Mytilus edulis: one gene and its partner. Each later gene encodes a partner of the first gene's protein in a complex. Links are inferred from orthologs where the notes say so. Each region holds a gene or a part of one and is shown in the gene's direction. Other genes may lie near its edges.

Evidence for each region. The genes of interacting proteins can lie anywhere in the genome.
Region 2: transformation/transcription domain-associated protein-like (region 1) and mortality factor 4-like protein 1 share a complex: the UniProt entries of both Drosophila melanogaster proteins name them as parts of the tip60 chromatin-remodeling complex. The link is inferred for Mytilus edulis from reciprocal best matches to the Drosophila melanogaster genes Nipped-A and MRG15.

Annotation. Positions count from the first base shown.
Region 1 is NC_092344.1:84,541,310-84,550,197, forward strand, and holds the start of transformation/transcription domain-associated protein-like, read left to right. Parts: upstream 1-5,228; 5' UTR 5,229-5,285; intron 5,286-7,187; 5' UTR 7,188-7,205; coding exon 7,206-7,299; intron 7,300-8,713; coding exon 8,714-8,763; intron 8,764-8,888. Other genes in the region: zinc finger MYM-type protein 1-like, read right to left, coding at 1,708-3,117. UniProt on the Drosophila melanogaster protein: Part of the Tip60 chromatin-remodeling complex which is involved in DNA repair. Upon induction of DNA double-strand breaks, this complex acetylates phosphorylated H2AV in nucleosomes and exchanges it with unmodified H2AV.
Region 2 is NC_092347.1:28,692,846-28,701,379, forward strand, and holds the start of mortality factor 4-like protein 1, read left to right. Parts: upstream 1-4,832; 5' UTR 4,833-4,919; coding exon 4,920-4,947; intron 4,948-6,833; coding exon 6,834-6,880; intron 6,881-8,534. UniProt on the Drosophila melanogaster protein: Part of the Tip60 chromatin-remodeling complex which is involved in DNA repair. Upon induction of DNA double-strand breaks, this complex acetylates phosphorylated H2AV in nucleosomes and exchanges it with unmodified H2AV.

The DNA of each region.
Region 1 (8,888 bases):
CTAAAAACCTTACAAACGTATATGATATGTATATAAACGATCCAGATTTTTTTCAATACCTTCTCTGAGGAAATTATGTGAATTGTGTACTATATATTATAAGAGTTTTAATCCCATTACATAAAATTGAGAATGGAACATAGTATGCTAACTTCTGAAAGAAGTAGCTTGTTTTGTTGCATATTATGTTTGAGATACATATTTTGAAATTTTGAAAAAAGGCAGGACAGGAGTTTGATTAAAAAAAAGGGACTATTATACTAAGTATGTTAGGCAGCAACCATTTGATTTTCGGGGGGGGGGGGGGGGGGCTATGGATTTTTTCGCCTGTGGCGAAAAACAATATACTTTTTTTGCGACAAGTCGAAAACATTTTTTTTCTTTCAATTTTAGCATTACATGTAGTGGCAGCTGAGGGTGAAACAAACATTTTTTTTTCTCAGAATCAAAAACAAATTATTCAAAAAACTGGAAACAAACTTTTTTTTCCAAAAAAATCCATAGCCCCCCCCCCCCCCCCCCCCCCCCCCAAGAAAATCAAATGGTTGCTGCCTTAGTATAGTCCCTAATAAGACACTCAAGGCCGTAACTAGGCCCAATATATTAGTGAGGCAAAACATTGAGCCGAGCGAAGCGAGGCGAAAATATTTTGACAGGGTATGGAATGAATGGTGCAAAATCCTGCATTCTAGGCATTTTAAGAGAGTTTTACAATGTCTCAAATTTAGACACTTTTCATACATTCATTTATCATTTGAAGACATGTAGATAGTAACACCAATTTTTTTAACACTTTAATTTAGTTAATAAATCAGATAAAAATCTAAATATCTATTTAAGTTTGTAGTCAGAACATAGAGCAAAGTATATCAGTAGATATTGTTAAAATTGGAGTTTGCCAATTTTTCTATGGCCAGTTTCGTCGAAACGTCTCAAAATGTTTTGTCTGCTAACATCCTTATCCCGATGCACATGAAGCATGGCAAGACCGCACAATCTCTCGCCACTCATGCATGCCCTTTCCCCAAGTTTTCAGTCGTCTCAGGGCAGAAAAGGAACGTTCACAGCAGACGCTCGTCACTGGTAGCGTTAACAGAAGCACAAGAACACGTCTTATGTTTGGATAAAAATCCTGGTGTGTATATACAAGAGCTTGCTGGAGTGAATTTGGAACAGATTCCTTGTCGGCGAACTTTGTTTTCCATCTAAGGATCTCCTGCTGCCAGTTTTCAATGTCCGGCAAATCAGGGTTGTATGCTTCTTTTATCTCATCTATGCATTCATCTGTCAGGTAGTCAAATTTTCCAGGTAAGAGGTATTGACCCATCATCAGTTGTCGTTGTTCTTGTGGGAATCTTCTTTCAAGCTCAGTACACACGGGATCTAAAAAGGCATAGAAAATTGAAACTCGCCAAAGCTGTTCTGCTGAGTCAACATTTGGGTTGTCTCTGTGAATTTGCCTTCCAACTCTTCGCCGCGGCTGCAAAATTATTTCTACTACATCTGCTAAAACACGGGCTCTCTCGAAAAGTTTAGAAAATGCTTCCTCTGATCTGATCGATTTCAGAGTTCTTAGCAAGTTCCGTGCCTCATCAAAGGCCACTACCATATCACAGTCAACTTTTTGCAAGGAAAGTGTCAAAGGCTTCAAAAATGCTAAGACATACTGTCCAACAACTAGAGCCATAATGAATTCTGGGTCTTCCATCAACCTTCGATGACCACCTGCCTTAGATTTTGAATCGCCACTGCTTTTTTCCTCAATCTTGCATTGTGAAGTTGTTCGTAATTTGTGATTATTGCGGACAATGCATCTACCCGAGCCGTCCAACGGGTTTCACTTAATGGTTGTATTGATTTTTTATGCATAGCTTCCTGCAATAATTTACCGCTGCTATCGTCTTCCTCGTTTATTTCCATTATCTTATTCATAAGGTCAGACTCGGTGAACATTTCTTCTTTAAGTATATTCTTTCGGTTGGCTGAAGCACAAATGAACCAGGTTAGTTGCACCACATTATCCATTATATTGCGAATTGGGTGAACAACCTTGCAACTTTGGGTCACAACAAAATTAAGGTTATGGGAACGACAATGGACATAGTAAGCTCTGGGACTAGTTCTCCGAATGCGAGTTTGGACACCGTTTACGTGTCCACTCATGACACTAGCACCGTCGTAGCCCTGTCCTCTTAACTTTTCAATCTCTATTCCCCACTTATCTAAGTATGTCAAGATGTTCCCAGCAATATTTTCAGCGTCTGTTTTTGTCAGTTCTACGAATCCCATAAATTCCTCTCTGACCTCTGACTTTATCCTGTCTACATACCGAATGCACAATGAAAGCTGCTCCTTAACGCTGACATCGGTAGTCTCATCAGCACATATCGAATAAAATTCGGCTTGCTTACAGCCATTAACTATCTTCTCGCGTATCTCGGTCTCACAGCAATAAATCAGTTCATTCTGAACCTTCGGCGATAGGTAATGTGGACCTTGTGACTGCAAATGGTGACGTAAAATTTCATCAAATTTAGCTACCCATTCCACAAAATACTGAAAATTACCGTCTTCCTTTTTCAGTTCCTTATCCCAGTTTCCCCGGAGCGCAATATTCCGTTGTCCCAAACTAACAATAACATCTATAATTGCAAGCAGTATCTGACGATTACGAACTATCTTGTTCTCGTACGCTTTGCTTATACTACTACAAATATCGGGTTTACTTTCATTCGAAACCATAATCAGATTATCGGCCTTTTCTTTCGCAGCAGAGTGTAATTTGCTATTCTCATGTATTCTGAGTGAACCTCTCTTGTCACCGGATGCGTTTTTCCAGTCACGAAAACCAATCATTCCAAACAATCCGTCACCGTGACCGTCACCAAACACTAAGCAGTATGCACAATAAGCGGCATCTTCTTCAACTGAGTAGCGCAGCCATGGATAAGTTTTTTCCCAGTCCTTGGAATATTTTCGTCCCTTTGTCGTTGGAAATGTTTTTACATCACTACTGCTCGGAGTAGAAAGAATCTTCAATTTTTCATTTTCAGAAAAACTTTGTTTCTTAATAACGAAAGGATCAAATGATAGGCCAATCTCCGTCACCTTTTCCATTACTTCATCAGTCTGTGGTTCTAATGGTAGCACGCTATCATCAACACAATGATCTACGTTAACTTCCGATTCCTTCTACATCGGCGCAATAGCAGCATCGGTAGTAACAGTTGTGTCTGAAAAGGGGAATTAGGCTTTCCCGTAAGCAAACAAACAAGACATTCAAATTCATAGATCGAAAATTAACTGATAACGCCATGGCCAAATAAGAAAAAGACAAACATAATTTTATATTGATTAGACCGTTGTTTTTCCGGTTTGAATGATTTTACAACATTAATTCAAATTATTTTTTGGGCCCTTTATAGCTTGTTGTTCGATGTGAGACAAATCTCCAAGTTGAAGGCCTTACACTTACCTATAATGTTTTACTTTTATAAATTGTTACTTGGATGGAGAGTTGTCTCATTGGCATTCATACCACATCTTCCTATATCTATATAATAGTAAAGGACATAACATAGAAAGCTAAAGACTAAGCAACATGAACCCAATCTAAAACTTGGAGTAATCTCAGGTGCTCCGGAAGGATAAGTAGACCCTCTTCCATATAAGACACCCTTCGTAAATAGTCTAATTCGTAAAAAAAAAGGGAACGCCGTTATGGGATTGTAGTTACAACATGGGAGCATGTCTGATATCATCTGTGTATTAACGGATATTCCACAGTCAACCAACTCGTGATGGCGTCCGTGAAAGACATGTATATAATTTTATCCAGAGTAAGTTTACTTGTGAGATAATATGGGTACAGGAGAATTTTACTGGAGTTTTCACCGTTTGTAAACATGTAGGTTCGTGACTTCAAATAATTTCGTTATTTCGGTAAATAGTCAGCGGTAAAATATTAATTTTAGATCAAGAATCGATAAATAAGGGGTGTGGGTGTGGGTCCGATCCCGAATAGGATTGTCCTGAATATATAGACACGTCATGAAAATCGGTAGTCCCGAATTGAAAAAGACCAAATTATAATGATATCCCGTTTTAAAGGCCCTGCCGTTCTTGGAGTCAGGACAGTGCAAATTGGAATACGGAATGTTATTTTAATTCCTAAGGTAAAAGAAACATGAACAATTAAAAACTAACACATGCAGGTTTCATAATATCTATATCTATTTTTGGTTTATCTGTATAGAACGAATAAAGTTTGTGAAATGGAGATATAAATAGGCAGACAGAACTACTCCCGGCTATAGACAGTAACTTGTTGGTCTATTTATAGTTTTGGGGTTCCAATGAATCTATAATTCAATACTTAAACTCTGAATGATCAACCCCTGTTGTGATCACGAACAGCATCAATGAATTCACAATTTATATTCCTTCCTCACTTTCATTATCGCTTTTCCTTTTTCTGCAAGAACCTGTTTTCAACCAGAGATCCATGATTATTACCGTAACTAAGTAAAAATGTAATCGAGAAACATCACCCGTTGAGATGCTGAGTTATATCCGGGAAGAATGATTTAAAAGGGATGGTGAAGTTAACTGTTATACTATAGAAATTAAGGTTGAGAAAAAACAAAAAAACACATTAGTGTATGTTCATATTTATTTACCATAAACGAATTATAATTTTACAAAAAAAAAAAAAAAAAAAAAAAATTGGTCGAAATTTTAGTGAGGCAATTGCCTCACTTGCCTCAATGGTAGTTACGGCTCTGACACTGTGCCAAAAAAAAAGGCTGTAGTCTATGACTATTCATGTAAATTTCTGAAAACTGAAAAGTGCCAATATAGGACCAAGCTCATGCGATTTATAAACTCAAGCTCTAACAAGGTCAGAGTATTAATTTTCATAATCCTCTCCCTACTATTCACACAAAACTAAAAAATTGTCCCCGAATCTATTTAAATAAAAGCGGGAAAATTACTTAACAGAAAATTACCCATGGTTCAATAGCCTCATCTTTAATACTTAGCAATTTTACATCTAGATTGCTTGCCAATTTCATTTCTAACACTTAGATTTTAATAGCTAAACTACCATTGAACTTCATATTTGAGCATAAACCGATAAATCTAAATTGATAAAAAAAAAAGTGTCAAATACAGAAATGCATAATTAGTCCGTCATTGCTTCCGAGTTTAGACAACTACTATGATTTCCGGAATGAGAAGCGTTAGACCGAATTGCTTAATATATCATGTAAAGCATACTATTTAGATAATGCATAAACACAAGAACCTAGCTTATACATAACTTATCATTATAAATACACAGAAAAGTCCACACCATGTGCTGCTGTCGCTCTGTAGCCTCATTACTTCGATCATTTCATCGTTTGATTTAATTATCTCCCCTTGTTTTTGTGAGTGCTGAAGTAAGTTAGTAAATTGCATTAAAGTCGACATATATGTACACAACGTAAATTTTGTGTGACTTTTAAACGTATATTTCATTTAAATCATGCAGTTATACTAACAACAGAAAACTTATCAGTTGCTAAAAGTGGTTCACTCATAAAAAAAAATTGAAAACAGGTTCAAAATTTGTTTCAACGAAGCACTTTTCTGGATTTACATTCATCAAGAACGCTCAGAGCCAAACATGTGAAAACTGAAGATGTATAAGTACAGAGACCTTTGAAGAGCCATATATATATATGTCAAAAACACCCAAAAATAAATAGCCAAATTCATCTAAAGCCAACTTTGCCTGAGGGAGTTGAAACCTTAGTTTCTTAATAATTTCTAAATTTATAAACATACAATTTTAGTAAAGTTTGTTAAATCATGTCAGTAATCATAATTCTGGTCTAAGTGTAACAGAGATTGGCTGATTTTTTAAAAAATGTGGCACAAGAAAGTCAAATGATAATGCGTGAAAATTCTGTATTCTGTATCGTGAAAACAAGAAGCAAAGGGTCTGGTCTAGACCTGAGAAATTACTTGTGCTGTTATTGCAACGAGTAGTGAGTTTAGGGATTCTCACTGTATATGATATTTGTTTTTCATTCATCAACTCCTTGATGTATACATGCAATAGGTGTCCGTCTAAATTTTCTCAATTTCATGAGAACATATAATGTGTATTTTTGTTGTTTTTTCCCCCCATCTTCATTTAGTTTTCGCTTATTTGTATGTGTTGGAGTTAAAAAAATTAGTAAGACATACATAGAGTGTGCAAGGATGTCTGTGATAATTTCCCGATGCATGTATGTGTCTAAAAGAGAACCCTAAAGATATTAGTAATTCAGATGCCACAGAGACATTGTACATGATATTTCTTACATTCAAAGCACTAACTTTCCTGGATTAACCTTTATCAGATATGGTAGGAGTCTAAAGTTTGTAGATACTTGTGTTATTAGTTAGGAATGTGTTGGAGTCCAAAAAACTAGTAAGACTTACATAGAGCGTGCAAGGATGTCTGTGATAAATTCCCGATGCATGTGTGTGCCTAAAAGAGAACCCTAAAGATATTAGTAATTCACATGCCACAGAGACATTGTACATGATATTTCTTACATTCAAAGCACTAACTTTCCTGGATTAACCTTTATCAGATATGGTAGGAGTCTAAAGTTTGTACATACTTGTGTCATTAGTTACATTTAGGAACAGCATTATTTAAGATGTTGCACTTTGATTCAGGCAAGTGAATACAGTTATCAGAAAAGTTGATTTCTGGCAACTTGCTAGAGAAGACAAGTTAAAACGATAAGTTAAAAGTTAAAGGCCTACTATGTTGGAAAATGTAAAAAAATATCAAAATGGTCTTTAAAAGGAGATGATTAAAAACAATAAGTAATGAATTCCTTTAAAGAATAATTATCTTTTTGTAAATTTACCTCAATTTAAATGTATTATTCAGCAATGGTTAGGTTATAAGCCCATTAAGGGTACAAGTATGATTTAGTGTCTGATACTGGTTGATACATAAGTAATCTACCTAGATGTATATTTCAAAACTATGCAGCTGTCTATTTCAGATAACACTGCAATTCAAATCTTCAACGGAGACTTTTCTGTTTGTAACTGAAGTCTTTCTTTGATTGTTGGACAATGCAGAAATGTTTAATTTTACAGGAAAACATTAGTGATTTTTGTGCTTTTACATTTTCAGATAAAGGCTTATCAAGATGCTGCAATCCCCACTAAGTCCACATGATTTGACCGCCCAGCTGACCACATTTAAATCCTATGTGGCATTGATTGCTGACCCTACACCAGGAAGTATGGTTTATTTAAACACATTCAAATTCTTTTCGAATTATTTGCATCTAACTAATTATACAAGATCTTTTATCTGCAATACATGCAATACTGTATAGCTTTTTTTTAATCACAATATATGATTTATTTGCATAATTTTTAGGCTTATATTTATTTGGAACTGATTTATAAAGTCTTTTGGACATGTAACATAAATATATGAACCATTATACGAAATGAATTAAAAACCTAGACAAGTTTCTAAGGTTAATAATGAGGTGTTGTTAAGAGGTAGAATGATTACAATATTGACTGATGATCTCCTCTCCGGAGTAGAGGTCATATGTAGATTAGTCTGATAAGATCTGACTACCTCTTTTACATAAATTTTGTACATACATAAATCTGTCCAATAATCATGATAATACTTCATTACATGTACCGGTAACTTTAGAAATAATAATAATGTCCCTGTCGTCTAGTATATTTTAAAAGGAGAAAATATAATACATGTAGAATTTGTTGCATTGTTGGCCTGTAACTGTTTTTCATTCAAAACTCTTTTTTAAACTTGATGTTACATAAAATAAATACATAGACCCTATAACTTGCTACTGTGTAATATGTAGGAACTATTATATTCCATGAATGAAATATTAAAAAAAAAAATGTAATCAAAATTCTTTGTTTAATAGTATGGTTTTGTAAGAGGTAGAATGATTACACTATTGACTGATGATCTCCTCTCCGGAGTAGAGGTCACATGTAGATTAGTCTGATAAGATCTGACTACCTCTGTTACTAAATGGATCTGTCCAATGATATTTTATTACATATTACTTTACATTATAATGATGTTCCTGTGATCAAGTTTTGATCTGTAGAATAATACTTTATTACATATTACTTTAATAAAGTTTATTTATAAAGGAGAATGCATATTGATTTTGGGCCTTAATTGGCCTCAAAGTACCCTGTATTTCATTCAAAACTCCCTCAATTTTATGTTTATTAAAGAATTAAAATTGAGAATGGAAATGGGGAATGTGTTAAAGAGAAAACATCCCGACCATAGAAAAAAACAACAGCAGAAGGTCACCATTAGGTCTTCAATGTAGCGAAAAATTCCTGCACCCGGAGAAAAAATAACACGAAACTTTATAGTATTTGACTCAAACTCGCTTAGGTTAGACTAATTTACATATAAAACAATGCAGCTTACTTAAATATGATTTGTTACATACATTTTTTTAACATTTAAAAAAAGAAATATTGTCACTTGCTGGAAGAAAAACTTGTTTGCCTCTGAGAAATCTGAAGAAAAACTAAAAATTAGATATTCTCTTACTCTTTCCCCTTTTTACAACAGTATGAGTCAAGATCGAGAAATGAATTGGGTGTGGCTTTATATAATCTATTATTTTTGTATTTTAAGTTGTTGAGAAAAAGCTGAAAGCTGCACAGGAGTTAAGTGAAAACTTTGAGGTAATTATACATTTTCATGCATATATTATTTATTTATCTAATTGGAACATTATTTTTTATAGTAGCTTTTTGTAATAATATAGAATGCACTTTAAATTTCAGTTGAAACTATTTTATCCATTTTA
Region 2 (8,534 bases), on another chromosome or scaffold:
TTGCTTGTTATTTTATGCATGGTTTCTACTCTGCATTTCTTTTATATTAACCTGTATGCTCAAGTGTTGAGTGTTCTAGAGAGATGTCCAGGTTGACACATATTCGCTTAGACTCATCATGATGGACTACTGTTAGATTTGTTACAGTCAGTCCTGTCTACGTAATTCTTTATATATAATAAAATTGAGAATGGAAATGGGGAATGTGCCAAAGAGACAACAACCAGACCATTGAAAAAAAACAACAGCAGAAGGTCACCAACAGGTCTTCAATGTAGCTAGTCCAAATAATTATGACGTCTTGAAAGGCTATTATAATTTTTTTCTTTGACGCCTTAGTCGAAGTAATTTTAAAGGCGTCAAAGAAAAAAAATTATAATAGCTTTTCAAGACGTCATAATTATTTGGACTACAATGTAGCGAGAAATTCCCGCACCTAGAGGCGTCCTTCAGCTGGCCCCTAAACAAATATATACTAGTTCAGTGATAATGAACGCCATACTAATTTCCAAATTGTACACAAGAAACTAAAATTAAAATAATACAAGACTATAAACAAAGGCCAGAGGCTCTTGACTTGGGACAGGCGCAAAAATGCGGATGGGTTAAACATGTTTGTGAGATCTCAACCCCCCCCTTTATACCTCTAGCCAATGTAGAAAAGTAAACGCATAACAAATACGCACATTAAAATTCAGTTCAAGAGAAGTCCGAGTCTGATGTCAGAAGATGTAACCAAAGAAAATAAACAAAATGACAATAATACATAAATAACAACAGACTACTAGCAGTTAACTGACATGCCAGCTCCAGACTTCAATTAAACTGAGGCTGAAAGATTATGATTTCATCATATGAACATCAGGCACAATCCTTCCCGTTAGGGGTTTAGTATCATACCATCATAACATATATGAGAAGAACATAACCCGTGTCATGCCAACAACTGGTTTTTTAATAAATGTGTTTAGTTCCGATGCAAAGACCCTATATAAGTGAATCAATATTAACGCCAACATATGCAATCTTTAATGACCTGACAACAGTATCGTAACTATATCCCTTCTTAATAAGTCTATTCAAAGGTTTTGTTAGTTTTTGAGGTGAATACTGACACCTTTGTGCTTTATAAAGAATATTTCCATAAAAAATTGGATGTGAAATACCTGAACGTATAAGAAGTCTGCATGTTGAGCTATATTTACGAATGATGTCCATATACCAATGATAAAATTACTATAGTAAATGTTTTGACTAGTTTGTGATATCGAAAACCCGGGTGTAATAATTTTTCAGTAATACATACATTTCTCTCGTTAAAATCTAAAACATTGTTACATACACGAGCGAATCGTACAAGTTGAGATATATAAACACCGTAAGATGGTGACAAGGGAACGTCACCATCTAAAAATGGATAATTAACGATAGGAAATGAAAAATCATCTCTTTTATCATAAATTTTAGTATTCAGCTTTCCGTTAGTGATATAAATATCAAGATAGAGGAAAGGGCAGTGGTCATTGTTAATATTAGCTTTATTTAAAGTAAGTTCAACAGGATAAATTTCTTTAATATACATACTGAAGTCGTCATTATTGAGAGCCTAAATATCTAAAAGTATTATTAAATCTGTTTATAAGATGTTGTTTCGATGGGTCTTTGCTTATTTTTGTCATGAATTGTAACTCATAGCAATACAAAAACAGGTCCGCAATAAGTGGTGCACAGTTAGTCCCCATTGGAATACCGATAATCTGACGGTATACGGAATCCCAAAAGCGAACAAAAATGTTATCTAGTAAAAATTCAAGGGCATATATAGTATCAAAGCATGTCCAATTGACATAGTTTTTTTTGTTTATTGCTACTAAAAAAATACCTAAAAGAGTTTGAACATATATATTCACATTCTGACTTTTTAAATGCCCATTTAATTAGGTGTGTGAATTTTTCTTAATGAGAATGTGAGGCAATGTGTATACAGGGTAGAAAAATCAAAACTTTGAACAGATTCAAAATCACCAATATAAGCATGCAATTTATCAAGTACTTCCAACGAGTTCTTGACACTCCAAAAGTAATTAATTCCACTATTTTCGAAGGCCTTATTTGAACAATTTATTATCAGGGTTTTAATTGTACCAAGTGTGCTGGTAAGAAGAATAGACAATTTAGTAGTGGAACAATGGGTCAACATTGCTGCAAGTTTTGTTAATCTAAAATCGATTTTACATATATCCATATAGGTAAATCAATTTTTCCCAAATTAAGTTAAGAAGGGGGGTAAGGGGGTTAGCGAAAAAACTATGTGAATTAAGTTTTTTATCCTACATTGAACTTTTGATGTCGTCCCTTACAGATGTCGTTTTCTGAAAATGCTATATAGAAAACTTTTTAAATATATGAGTTGCTACTTTTATAGTGATCATGATTTATATAGCAGCATGTTTGGTCCGCTTTTTTCTATATAAACTTGCCATATTTTCTTCGAGCCAACCTAGCCAGGACAGTATATTGTCAGTTATCCTCTTCCCAGGAGATTACAACACAAAACCCCCAATATGTAGAGTTTTCATCTTGATAAACACGTATGAATATACTACATTTAATGTTCGTAATTGTAGTTGTAGATTTTAACAACCTTTATTTAAGGGCATATTACTGAGCTACGAGATAAAGAAAAAATAAAAAATGATTTTTTTTTTGTTCAGTGATTACAGTTAAAATAAAAAGCATGCGAACCAAGAGTTTGTAAATGCCTTGCTTGCCAACTTTGTTTGGTTGTTTGCTCAGGCATTGTAATTAAGATTGACACCTGAATTCAAAGGAGAGGCGGAGAAACAGTTTGTTTACTATATAAAAAAATAGTTGGTTGGACAATGGATATTACATTGGAAACAATTTTGATATTAATTGACCAATAAAACCTTTGTGTATAGTAAACAGACTGTTATATATACTCCACCTGGCTACCCATTGAATTTAGGTGTTAATCTTAATTACAACTAGAACACACCCGTGATATCGCGGGTCCGTGACTGAATTAAAGTATATAACTATGCGCAAGCCTTATCTTTGTATTAGTACTGGCATCTGATAAAGTCATGCCGATTATAAGATACACAATTTTCTCTGCTTTCAAATCTTTCTGTTTGAACCCGTCGAACTGGAACTTATTAATTATGGGTAATATTAATTATTTGGAAAACAAAAGGTCCTGGTATGGAGTATTTTTTAATCTTCAGCATTGTCCTATATTAGTTATAAATAAAGTTGAACTCTTTGATTCGCTGTTTTACGTCATGCCCGCTAACAAATTGAAACTTATTTTTAGTCCAGATTTTTAGTATTCGTATTGTTATCTTAGAAAGTCTTACGGATTAAAATACTACAATAGGTAACAATTTGACAATTTAGTAGTGTCAACCCTGTGATTATGACCCGTGTATAAAGCATATTAATCCTGAATACACCGTTTGGTGGTGCGCCTGTCAGATGCGTAACGTACAGATAAGGTAATAGGTAACATTTGATTATACTATTGGTATCGGTATCGGAATCGACCCGGAACTTCCTAATTATTGGCAATATTAATTACTTGGAAAACAAAAGGGCCTGGAGTGGCGTAATTTTTAAACTACACATTTGTACTTTATTAGTTGTATATAAAGTTGAATTCTTTGATTCGTCGTTTTTACGTGATGACGGCTGACAAATTGGACCTCGTAATTTTAGTATTATAGATGTCTGAGCAAAAAAAAAAAAAGTTGGCAAGCAAGGCATTTATATTCTTGGTTTGCATGCTCTATTATTTTAACTGTAATGAAAGTGAAATAGCGAGTGATAATTCGCTTTTAGAATTGCAGCCAATTTGGTTCAATTTGGTCAGGCAAAGAAAAGTAGGACTGGATCATATCGCTGATTGATTATTCACGTACAATTTAAGTGATTAATTCGACATCATTGAATCCGTAATTACCGGGTATGTGATCTTTAATCAAACATCTCTGCTAAAGATTGGCAACACTTGTATTCTGAGCTATTGCAAAGGAATAGAATATTGTTAACCATTTTGTTAACATTGAGTGTTAAATAAGGATGAACCATTATACTGACTAATTCAAACCACAAAAAAAACCTCCTCTTATTCAAGTAAAGCGGTGAATGGCATACTTTTTAATCTCCGTATGAAATATAACAGACCGCTAGAAAATCCAATTGCACATGGTCGCTATCTATTTATATTCCTATCAGGTTTTATAACGGCCGTCGGCAGTCTTCGGAGATCATCTCTGTGGTTAATTAGACGACATCTAAAATATGTTGAAACATATCATTGTATCCATGTTTAACCAATGAGAACACTGGGAAAATTTGCAGAATATTTTAAAAGGAGAAAAATACAAAATTGAATAAAAAAAAAGGGAAGATCAAATGAAGAATAGAGAATAATTTGGCGCTAAAATATAAAGAAAATAGACTATGGTCAAAATAAAGCAAGAATAGAGAAAATGTACATAATGACTTAAAGAATACAGATATCAAAGGTCTCAAGACTCTCTTGTATACTTTCTCGTGAAATTGTGTTCAAAGATCTTCAAAGTTGCCGGATATATTTTTTTTAATTTTTAATTGCATTTTGACCAAAACAATTTTTGGTCAAAATGCAATTAAAAATTAAAAAAAATAAATGTTTTAAACTGTAGACCATTCTGTTCAACTTTTTAAATCCGTTTCAATTTTAAATCTATTTTGAGCTATTTTTGAGAAATAACTTAGAATACTGTATCAATTTTTATTTCCGTCTTTTTTTACTTCCGTGTTTTAGACAGTCTCAAATTATTTCACACACAAATTGATGACGTAAACACATGTGCAAACATTTTCCCTAAACTATCTAAGCTTGGATAAACGAAATGCCGCCTAAATATAAGTTCCAAGAAGGTAGTTGATGCAATAATTAAGTAATTATATGAATCTGACATTTATAAATAGACATGCATCCTGTCTTTTCGCTGCGATAGATTTTTGTTTTGTTACAATTCCAAAAATTATACAAACACAACAAATTTATCTCGCTTACACCAAAAAGTCACAGGCACTTGTTTCTATCTATGTGCGGTTTACTTTCCACACCCGTACGAAAAATAACATTGCCAGAAACAAGTGCCTGTGCAAACAATCCAGAAAAATTACCCCCCTTTTCCCCCTTTTACATGTCCTCTAGAATATTTATCTGTTTAGCTATAAATGACTTATTCCAGGAAGATTTTACAAGTGAAAGATGTGGAAGGAACATATATTTTAAAATCCATTTCGACATTTGTAAATTGTGCATTTCACTATTTTAGTATTTGTCTGCTATTACTGGACTTTTCAAAGGTTCCCTTATAATTTTGGCATTATAATAGAAAGTATCTGACACCACAAAGAAAAAATGATTGTTGTATGACATCAATAGTTCAACAGGCACAGGTCTTGGGTTAATCATGTTAATTGGTGCAACAATTAAAGGTGTATTGTACTGTTTTCATTATTCCATTTGGAAATCAGAGATGCACCTTTGCTTGAAACCATATAGGACTTGCACTTGGCTGGGTCTGTCAATAGAACAGGAACAGAGTTATTTGTAATCGAAACCATAAGATTTTATTCTACCGGTTTTGACCCATCCACATTCTTTGTGTGTCTGACCGAAGTCAGGAGCCTTTAGTTCAGCTGTTGTCTTTGTTTTATGTCTGTCATACTTGTTTTTATGCCTCATCTACAAAAGTAGAGGGGCATCATGTTTTTTGGTCTGTGCTTTCGTTCATTGTCCGTCTGTCCCGCTTAAGTTAAAGTTTCTGGTCAAGGTAGTTTTTGATGAAGTTAAGGTTCATCATAACAAGTGGACAAATGTGGCTGTATTTTCACCTCAAAAACTACTCTGTGTACAGACTTACCTGTGCTGTTTGGAAAGTTTTAAGGCCTAGCATCCACTAGATATATAAAAGTTAAATTCATTTTATGTTTAAGAAAGATAACATCTTTCTTGGTTTTTGATGGGCATTTTTTTTCCTTTCTGCAGAAGGTGTAAAAATAAACAAACATCTGAATTACTTTGATACTGTCCACTCACTGACTCAGATAAACTCTTTAACTCACCTGTAGTTGTGAAGATACCTCTTGTCCATGTCAATTAAGGACAATCAAAACAATACAAACCGGTTTTTTACCTGAGGGAGCATCTCAAAGTTGTACCACTTTGAACTTAGTTAATTTTCACACCTTATGCATGAAGGAAAAAAATGCCCATCAAAATCCAAAAGAGATTTTATCTTTCTGCAACATAAAATGCATTTATCTAGTGGATGCTAGGCATTAAAACTTTTCCAACTTCACAGGTAAGTCTGTACTAAGAGTAGTTTTTGGCATGTAAATACAGCCATGTTCGTCTGTTTGTCATGATGAACCTTAAAGTCCAAAAGTCCATTCAACTTGAAACTTAGTACACAAAAAAAAAAAAACAACTTAGTACACAAGCTCACTAAAATATGATCTTTCTTATTTTAATGCCAAATTAGAGTTTTGATCCCAATTTCAGGGTCCACTGAACATAGAAAAAGAGAGTGTGAGTTGGGCATCTTTGTACATGTAGTTCTATCATGACTATGGACACTGTCTTGTTTTCCATTTTTTCAAATTGTTTCTTAAAGAGTCAGAATCTTTTGTAGTTATTTTTATACATAGTAGCCACTTAATGGATCATTAATTTAATATTGAACATGCATGTTGATGATTTGGTGAAATATTAGTAAACATGAAAGTAACAAATATAATATTTTTTACAGGAGAGAAAGTTCTTTGCTTCCATGGACCTTTATTATATGAAGCAAAGGTATGTATCTGTATTTCTCTAATTTTTGTGCTATATTCACATTTCATGTTCGTTGTGAGAAAAGTATTTCTTCTCTGCAAATGATTGGTCGAAATTTAATTGTGAAGTCAAATTTTCTTGGTTTCTTCTGAATTTTCTATTGTGACAACACGAAAAAAGGCAACCATGCTTAATGATGTCACATATAAAGAACACAGTTTTCTGCAAATATTTGAAAAAGGAACAAGTTTAAGCCTCCTGTTAATATTAGAATTTATCAGTTTTTTTTTTTTTTTAAGGTTTACATATTTTATTGAAATCTTTACATTTGTTAGTTTATCAGTTTTTATCAGTTTTGAGGGGAGAAATATCGTAACATACTTGTTACAACAGTGGAATCTATATTTCTCTTCTTATGCTATTTAGTTATGATGCACAAACTAATGTGTATACATTTGCTGTAAGATTTCTGTGATTGGCAGCACATTCAGAGTAATGTGTTCTTATTATTTTAGTATTGGTTCTACACTCTCCCCATGTCACAGAATATAAGTTCTGTCATAACATTTATTCCAAAGATAATTTATTATGTAACAAAAGTTCCAATTGGAATTATTGTTATGTGATATTTATTCAATCAACATAATAAAATGACCGATGCCTCGGAATTTTTATCACATAAAATATATTCCAATAGGAAGTTTTATTACATAATAAATTATCTTTGGAATAAGTATTATGGTGGAATTTTTATCTTATGACTGGTATAACATTTTGACTTTTATCATTTTGACATATCACTCATTAAAATGAAAAAAATGATAAAATCTTATGTTATATTTATTCCGATTGGAAAAAATATTATGTAATATATATTCCGATTAGAAAAAATATTATGTAATATATATTCCGTACGGAAAAAATATTATATAATATCTTTTCCGACCAAAAAATATTACTATATTTTATCCATAACTAATGCCGGATTGGAAAATTGGTATTTACAATTATTATAAGAACAGGTATCGTGAATATGGAAAAGAATTGTCCCAATCTTGAAGATATATTTCTGAATTATCCACAATTACTAGTATGCATATTTTACCTTTGAATGATATTTTTCTCATTAGAATTAACATTTATATTTCACAGCTGAACTTGTTAACATATTTAGTTACCTTCAACATATGTTCCATCATTTAAGAACATAAATATTTTCTCATACTCATCAGCCTCTGTTTCAGTATACATTCAGGTATTGTGTACAGGTGAATATATCCAACTCATTAACACTTTTCATTTTACATAATAATCATATAATTAGTATTGAAACCGGTTTTGATTTAGAATACAATCAACATTTAAAATCTGTTTTGAATTATATAACAATCAATCAGGCATAATAAACTAAACTTAAGCATAATAGGAACATTTCTTATACTCATCAACATATAAGATAAGTTCCTAATATCAGTGGAACAAATATAATACAGATGGAAAAAGTATTCCATGACACAATTTCCGCAGAACAAATATTATTATGATATTGTTTCCCTCAGGAACAAATATTATTGGGAACAAATATACGTTGACACCCTGAAATAGTTTTGGCTTAATTAGACACTAAACATACCATCTTCTGTTGTATTAATAGATTTGTTTTCTGCAAAGGTAA